2 linked regions of the Coturnix japonica genome follow. The protein of the gene in region 1 binds, or shares a complex with, the protein of each later gene. Links are inferred from orthologs where the notes say so. Each region holds a gene or a part of one and is shown on either strand. Other genes may lie near its edges.

The links.
Region 2: the proteins of CNOT1 (region 1) and NANOS1 are in contact, whole or in part, in a crystal structure (PDB 4CQO), measured with the Homo sapiens proteins. The link is inferred for Coturnix japonica from reciprocal best matches to the Homo sapiens genes CNOT1 and NANOS1. Residues at the interface, in NP_057368.3 of Homo sapiens: Ile2327, Ile2330, Lys2331, Trp2338, Glu2350, Phe2353, Gln2354, Val2356, Ala2357, Met2361; in NP_955631.1 of Homo sapiens: Phe40, Ser41, Ser42, Trp43, Tyr46, Leu47, Leu49, Thr51.

The regions. Positions count from the first base shown.
Region 1 is NC_029526.1:1,180,146-1,183,655, forward strand, and holds part of CNOT1 (CCR4-NOT transcription complex subunit 1), read left to right. Parts: coding exon 1-124; intron 125-577; exon of another isoform or gene 578-713; intron 714-1,102; coding exon 1,103-1,219; intron 1,220-1,506; coding exon 1,507-1,617; intron 1,618-2,244; coding exon 2,245-2,322; intron 2,323-2,628; coding exon 2,629-2,806; intron 2,807-3,277; coding exon 3,278-3,408; intron 3,409-3,510.
Region 2 is NC_029521.1:26,722,663-26,726,945, reverse strand, and holds the start of NANOS1 (nanos homolog 1), read right to left. Parts: upstream 2,807-4,283; 5' UTR 2,718-2,806; coding exon 1,953-2,717; 3' UTR 356-1,952; intron 1-355. UniProt on the Homo sapiens protein: May act as a translational repressor which regulates translation of specific mRNAs by forming a complex with PUM2 that associates with the 3'-UTR of mRNA targets. Capable of interfering with the proadhesive and anti-invasive functions of E-cadherin.

The DNA.
Region 1 (3,510 bases):
TCTCGTGATGAAGAGAGTCAGTATTGAGCCAAATTTTCACAGCTTATATTCAAACTTCCTCGACACTCTTAAGAATCCAGAATTTAATAAAATGGTTCTGAATGAGACTTACAGAAATATCAAGGTGAGTGCACAAGTTCTAATACTTGGGTAAGTTTTAGCATTTAGAGGTATGCTGTTCTCAGGCCATTTTCTTCCTGTGCTGCTTATCTTCAGAAATGGAGTATCTTGGGAAAGTCTACTTCAGCTTAAGCTAACATCTTACTGTATGAATACTGGGATTGTTTTGTTTTCAGTCAGAAAGGATTAAGAGGGTATATCTGCATTTAAGTCCATATTTGTATGAGGCCTGCAAATTGCGGCAGGGAAAATTTCTTTGTGGTCTAGTTTGTGTGGGAGAGTATCAGGATGAGAACCACACTCTGCTGTTTTAGCTGAAAAATAGAGGATAGGGAGCTAGAGTAAACAGAAGTGTAACAACTAAAAATCATTAGAGGACTAAATTAACGTGCATGCTGAAGAGGTCAAGAAGAAATAGCCCTGATGAGGTGAGTGAGTGAATCAAATCTGTCAAGGAAGCACTATTTTTAAACCTGTTGGTGGATTTTCTTGGCCACCGTGGGTTACGCTGTAGTGCAAAAGAATCTCCTGGCTCTTTAGAGTGTGGTTGGCCTTCTGTTTGGCTGATGCTGCTCTGAAGCCAAGGGACAAAGCTAATAGTAGAATGCTAGAGCATGTTTTAGGTCTTGAAGTAAGAATTAAATCGTTTCCCAGGAAATGCCTTCTGGTCTGCAATGAAGTGTTAAGAAGCATTGTCTTCCCAAGTTACATTTTGCTGGGTAGCCTAGCTGCCTTATCAGTAACTGGAAAGCTCTGGGAAGGCGTAATCCTTTCTGATCCCCTCCAAGTAAAGGAATTTTGAAGTCATTACAAGGCAGATTGGTGGGATGCTACCTTGAGGGTAAAGGCTGCTCTTGACTATCTCTGTAATGGGACTGGAGCTCAGAACTTGGTGTTCTGCTTCAGGTCAGAGCAGCTGTTTGATTTGGTGTTGTGTCTGATTTATCTTCCAGTTGTTGCTTGAGTTGTTTTTTTCCATTAGGTGCTACTGACATCAGATAAGGCTGCAGCCAACTTCTCTGACCGTTCCTTGTTGAAGAACCTTGGTCACTGGCTGGGAATGATTACACTGGCTAAAAATAAGCCCATCTTGCACACAGTAAGCTTCTGTCTTCACAGACTTGCTTGACGCAAACTACTGTGGTATTATTCAGCAGCATAGGCTGTTTTGGAAATGCTATCACCAAAATGAAGGGGGTAATATTACGTCAAAATATCCATCTGTGAATCTTTGTTCAAATGCAAGATCACTCTTTAGCATTCCGTAAAACTCTGTTTTGCCATTATATCCTATAAGAAAATAACATGTCAATGGAATTTCTGCAGTGGTCTTGTTTTTTTCTTTCTGCTTTCCTACCCTTTTTAATTGTTGATGGTGTTTTTCAGGATTTGGATGTGAAGTCACTACTACTGGAAGCGTACGTTAAGGGACAGCAGGAATTGCTTTATGTAGTACCATTTGTTGCCAAAGTCTTAGAATCCAGTGTCAGGAGTGTGGTAAGTGACTACATTGGGGCTGTTACTGCTCAAGTGGCAACACAAGCATTGCAGAAATTAAGTAGTGCTTCTCATTAAACCCAATGAACTTCATGTGTAGTGGGGGGTGTAAAGGGATATCACGGCTTCAAGTTAGTTCCATTTTGAGATAAAGTACTTGTCTGGTTGGGTTTTTTGTTCTGTTTTTTTTTTTTGGGGGGGGGGGGTCCATCCTAAACAGATGATGTTGGCTGAACTGTACTGTAGTATCCCCAGACACAGACCTCTGTTGAGAAACAAAAGGATGCCACTGGAGGGGTTCTAGGATCTATTTCTTATTTGGGTGGATTTATTTCCTTCCACCCTCAACATGCGTGTTTTGTCTCTGATGAGCTCTCTTTAACTCTGCTTGGCTAAGCAACTGATCTCTCAGAAGGGTCTAGTAATTGTGCTTCCAGTTTGGCGTTCAGCTTGCTTGTTCATCTGCTTTCTCTCAATACTAAAAGCAGCTTTGCCTGCAGCTGTGTAAACTTCAGTTTCCCCTGTCTGTATGTGCATGTAATGGTTCAGTTTCAAAATGTATTAGTCTTAAGGGAACTAAACCATTCCAGACCACTGTGTAATGCTGCTTTGCATTTTCTCTTGCAGGTTTTCAGGCCTCCAAACCCATGGACAATGGCTATTATGAATGTTTTAGCTGAGCTGCATCAAGAACATGATCTAAAAGTAAATTTTCTGTTTTGCTGTACCTATTGAGCTTGAGGTTTTCTTGACAATACCAGTCAGAAACATGTTGTGAGGGACCAAATTTCACTTCTCACTTCATTGTGTGAGGAACTGGGCATTGCTAACTTAGTAAGAGCGTGGGTGAGTCTTGATTTCTGTGAGGTTAATGTGCAGGTTGTTTGTCTAACCATCACTTGCTTATGCAAAAGAAAAGACAACATGAGTTAGAACATGAAGCTTGGGTTTAGAACAGCCAGTTTGGGTTTTTTTCCTTGTGACATAACCTAAACTAAAATTGTTGTGCAGTTGAATCTGAAGTTTGAGATCGAAGTGCTCTGCAAGAATCTTGCACTGGACATCAATGAGCTGAAACCTGGGAGCCTCCTGAAAGATAAGGATCGTCTGAAAAATCTGGATGAGCAGCTGTCTGCTCCTAAGAAAGATGTGAAGCAGCCAGAAGAGCTGCCACCCATCACAACCACCAGTAAGTATGCCTCAAATCAAACTCAGAACAGTGCTGTATGAAGTTTAGAAAGACAGGCTTGTAGAGAAGAATTTGAAGCTATCTGCACTGCTGTAACATTACTGAAAGCTTAGAATCACTAAAGTAGTGGTGTAATAGAAGGATGTTAACAGGATTAGGAGATGGGAGAGGAATGGAAGCCATCCCACGGACTAATTCTGCATGTGCTGTGTGTAACTGCTCTTTAGAAGAGAGTGAAGCTGGGAGACAGATTGAGATTGTAGCAGGGTTCAAACCCTGCTGTAACAAACAGCTGCCAAAATGCCCTGAAGTTAACCTGGTGCTAGACACTGTGGAGGTGGGGGGAAAAAAGCTGGGTACCTGTAAGGAAGCATTATGGTCAGAACTCATCACTTAAATGATGTGCGTGCTTCCATTTTAATCACTCACTTTTCCCTAATGGTTAAAATAAGCATTTTTATATTCTTACAGCTGCTTCTACAACTCCAGCTACCAGCACCACTTGTACAGCCACAGTTCCTCCACAGCCCCAGTACAGTTATCATGACATCAATGTGTATTCGTTAGGAGGTTTGGCTCCACATATTACCTTAAATCCAACGGTAAGTGCTGATTTGGTTTACTAAGTGCTCCTACTGCTGACATTGCCACAGATCTTAGCTAGTGGGTTTGGCATTATAGAATTCAAAGCTATTTCTTGGAGT
Region 2 (4,283 bases), on another chromosome or scaffold:
TTCAAACCAGTAGCCAGATCTAAAGATCTGCAGCTGTGTGCAGAATAAATAACAATAGCATCAGGCTGAACAAGACACCTGTGGAGCATGCAATAGCTTCCAACATGGGCTGCTGGCAGATGAAGGCACACGCTGTTCCTAGGAGTTTAGGTTACTACCATAAGCTGTTTCAGTGTGTGTGTAAGCAGCATCTACCATAACAGACTTGTGACCACAAGGCAGGTGTGTCTGCCTGCTCGGTGCTGCAGAGTGTGCTGGTGTGCAGGAAATGGCTCTGGGAGCTCAGTTTGAAGTAGGCCGATTCCCCTCCCACCCCACACACAGCTGCTCTCTCCAGCCACTGCTGCTGCCTTACCTGCTGGGGCCCGACTCCCAGGCCTGATGCCACGCAGTGCAGGTACACACGGACAGCTGGAGGACTCAGCACACACAGCAGGAGCCACCATCACAGGAGCAGCTTTCTTCTCACCCATGTGGAGGGCACAGACAGGGCTGGCATCCATGGCAAGGAGACATTCTGCTATCTTGACAAGCTCCCAGGCGGTGCAGTGGGGCAGTTGCTATGGGGTAACTTAATCTACAGACCAGGGGAGGTGGGTGTATGGCAGCCCTCGGAATGTCCCCTCAAAGCAGCTGAGAACCTTCCTTACATCTTTCTTGCTTTTGTGTCCATAAACAGTCACCCGAATTGAAACACATATGCTCATCAAGAAGCTAACAAAGAGACTGAATTTGTTCCACAGCGTTACACTGGAGCTCAATCCCAATCTGCGGTGAAGACAGACATCACAAAATCCAATGCCTGAATTCTACCAGCTGAGAACCTGCAGGGCAAATCACATGGAAGGAGAGACAGCACACAGCTGGCACAGCCAACAGGCAGCTCCATACAGCCAGCTGCAGCCACAGCGAGGTGGTATTTAATGCAAGTCTATTTGCATTTGCTAATTAGACCTAATGCCATCGCTGGAGCAATGTGATGAAGCCTGAAGAGAGCACTTCCATTCACAACCCTGTTCTCAGCTGAGGGAACCAACAGCAGTTGTGAATAGCGACCCCCAGGCTCCTTCCAGCCCATCCTGACTCCACTCCTGCCCGTCCCACTTACTTGCTTCACTGTCCCACCCCACAGAGCAGCTCCTCAGGAGGAACTCACATTAAATCCGTCACTTCTCACTTGTCCATCTCCCCTTCCCATCAGGACGCGGTGCCTTTCTCACCCTCCAGGCGAACCTGGGTACAGCCAGAGCCTTCTGCACTGCCCTCTTGGCTCCAGAGGACCCCGGAGAGACCCACAGATCTGCTGCTGCTGCTCCTTCTCCTGCTTTAAGTTGCAATGAAAGCAAATTCCCCACCTCTCTGAGAGCGACGCAGTCCCGTGGCTGCGTCCCGTGTTCGGTATACATGAAAGCTACTCGGTAACCACACGGGTGCTTCCCCCGTGCCCCCACCCACTTAAAGCCACACTCTTTAGCCTTACAAACGCATCACCTTCCTTTGGGCAGTTCCTCGCTCTGGGTCTCCTCAGAAGCCCACAGTCACACCAGGGGCCGCTCCGTGTGTCCCCCAGTCACCGCGCAGCCCCCTCCGCTCCCTCCCCCCCATCCTTAGAGCCGCACATTGAGCCGGGCGGCACCGTCCCGTTCCTGCCCCTCCCCGGGTGCAGCCTTTCAACCGAATTGCTGCCGACCACCGAGCCAAAAACCCCATCGGTTCCAATTGGGACGCTGGATCGGCTTTGAGCCCTTCGTTCCCCTCCGTGCAGCGGGCGGCCGCTCCCCAAGCCGTGCGGGCAGCGCGGGGGGCAGCAGGGAGACACACCGCCCGGTGTCGGAACTGGCGGCGAACGGCGTTTCCTTAAAAACCACGTATCTCTATATTTCTTACAAGAAACACGTACAGGGCGTCCCCGCCGCGCCGAAGCCGCCCGCCAGTCCCCGAGCCCCCCGCTCCTAGCGGACCTTCTTGCCCAGCGCGGTCCGGGCGTGCCGGAGCTGTTTGGCCGCCTGCATTTTGGACAGCGGGCAGAACCTCCTGGTGTGCGCGTTGTCCCGCGTGGCGCCGCACTGCGGACACACGTAGCGCCGCAGGATGGGGCACAGCACGCGGCCGTCGGGTCCCTTCAGGATGTGCGTGGTGTACAGAGCCACCGCCTCCTTGTTGTTCCTGCAGAACACACACACCTGCAGCTCGGGTTTCAGCAGGCGCCCCGCGGCTCGAGGGTGTGCGGGCAGCCGACCCGCCACCACCACGCCCGCGCCCCACGCGTGGCCCGAGCCGTCCCGGCCCCCGTGCTCCCCCGAGCAGTCGAACAGCACCGCTGCGGGGCCGCCGCGCCCGGGGAAGGGGCTGAAATCGGCGAATCGCTCCTCCAGCAGCCCGTCGCCGTGGTGGTGATGGTGCCCGCACAGCTCCAGCTCGTGCAAGTCCAGCGCGCCCTCGAAGTACGGCCCCGCCGCTTCTTCCTCCTCCTCCTCTTCTTCCTCCTCCTCCTCTTCGGCCGCCGCCACCACCACGGCGGGCGGTTCGGCAACGAAGCCCTTCCCGGGACGCACGGCTTTAGTGATGAGCGTGGCCAGCCCCAGGTAATCGTTCCACGAGTTGAAGACGTTCCCGCAGGCGCTGTGGCTCCGGCCGCCGTAGCGGGCACCCTGCAGGCGCTCTACGGCCGGGAGGTGCCGGTGCGGCTCCAGCTTTCCACCGGGAAAAGCCTCCATGGGGGGCGCCGTCCGGGAGCGCCCGCCCGCGCCCCCAAAGCGGCCCCGCCGCTATTTGCCCCCGCTGCCTTCGGGAGCGCGCGGCTGCGCCACGCACTTTAAATAGGGGCGGGGGATGGAAAGGGGGGGTGCCCACTTCTCTCTCATTCGCCGGCGACCAGAGACCCCTCCCGTTCATTGGCGAGTGGGAGGTGGGAGGGGTGGGAACAGGGAAGGGGCGGGGAGGTGTGCGTGGGGTGTCCCGGGGGTCGTTGGGTGGGGGGTCGTTGTCCAACAAGCTCTTGTTAGTACCCCCACAGCATCCTTTGTACTGAGAGCTGTCATTGGTATCCCCTGTCGGTACCCCAAAAACTACCAGTATCCCTAAAAGGCATCATTGGTACCCACGAGAAGTATTGGTAGTACCTAAAAAGCCATTGGTTGTGTCCAAAAAGACGTTGCTAGTACCAAAAGAACTATTTTAGCACCCAAAAAGCTGCTGGTTTGGATCAGCATCGGCGTTGCTGATGCGCTGTGTTGGTACGTGGCATCCAGTCAGGCAGTGGGTGCTGTCAGTCCTCTCCCTGCTGTAGAACTACAGCATAAGTTGGGTTAGAAGGACCTCAGAGCCCACCCAGCCTCATCCCCCATTGAGGGCTGTGTGTCCCTCATGGATCAGCTGCAGAGCTGGCACAGTGTGGGCTGCTGCTGCTGCTTGCTGTCAGGGCTGCTTCTCACCTCTTGTAGTGCCAGGGTAGGGATGGATGTGCAGCACTTTGCTGCTCCTGTGTGAGGTTGTGGCCGTCAGAGGCAGAAAAAGCAGAAGTTTTCAGTTTTGGAAAAGTCTTTGGCTTCATTGAGAAGAGTATTTCATATAACACTTTGGCTAGACGCTCTACATTCTTCTGTGTATTCTGCCTCTCCAAAAATGACTGCTCCAGGATATGCTGCAGAGGACTCAACGTTCACACGAGGATTTATGGCTCTGAGTTTCTCAATTGGTTCTGAGCCTGAATTAGCAAATGACAGTGCATATTTCTAATAGCAGCAAGGATTCCGGCTGAATTTCTGAGCTCTGCCTGCCTGATTAAATCCAGCGAGGGCTCCTGCTAAGCTCCAACACAGAGCAGCTGTGCCAAAGGCTGTAGGACATCCACAGATTGAGTTCTGAAGGCTGTTTTATTGCGTGAAGGGTTACCAAGCAGAAGACGTATATACGAGCTGATCCAAATGAGTGTCATATACACACTCAATACAGTAGATAAATTCCTGATAGATTAATTTCACGTGGTGAGGATAATAGTATTTCTCCTGACAACTTGATTAGGTCTGTAAGAGAACTCCTGGTGAATAAAAAAGGCATTTTGTTTTTTGTCGGGATGATAAAGTGGGATTTAACTGTGAGAGAAAAGCAACCACAAAATCAGGCTCTCAGTGCTCGTCTTCTGTTGTTTTGTAGAAGGATTAATCAGAGGATTTCCCATTGTTTTAATTGCCCAGATGTGCTTGTTTTCTTCTGAGACTGAAGTGTTTTGTGAAGTAGCTTTGTTACTTATTATATACATTAAAACTACATGGCCAGGACTG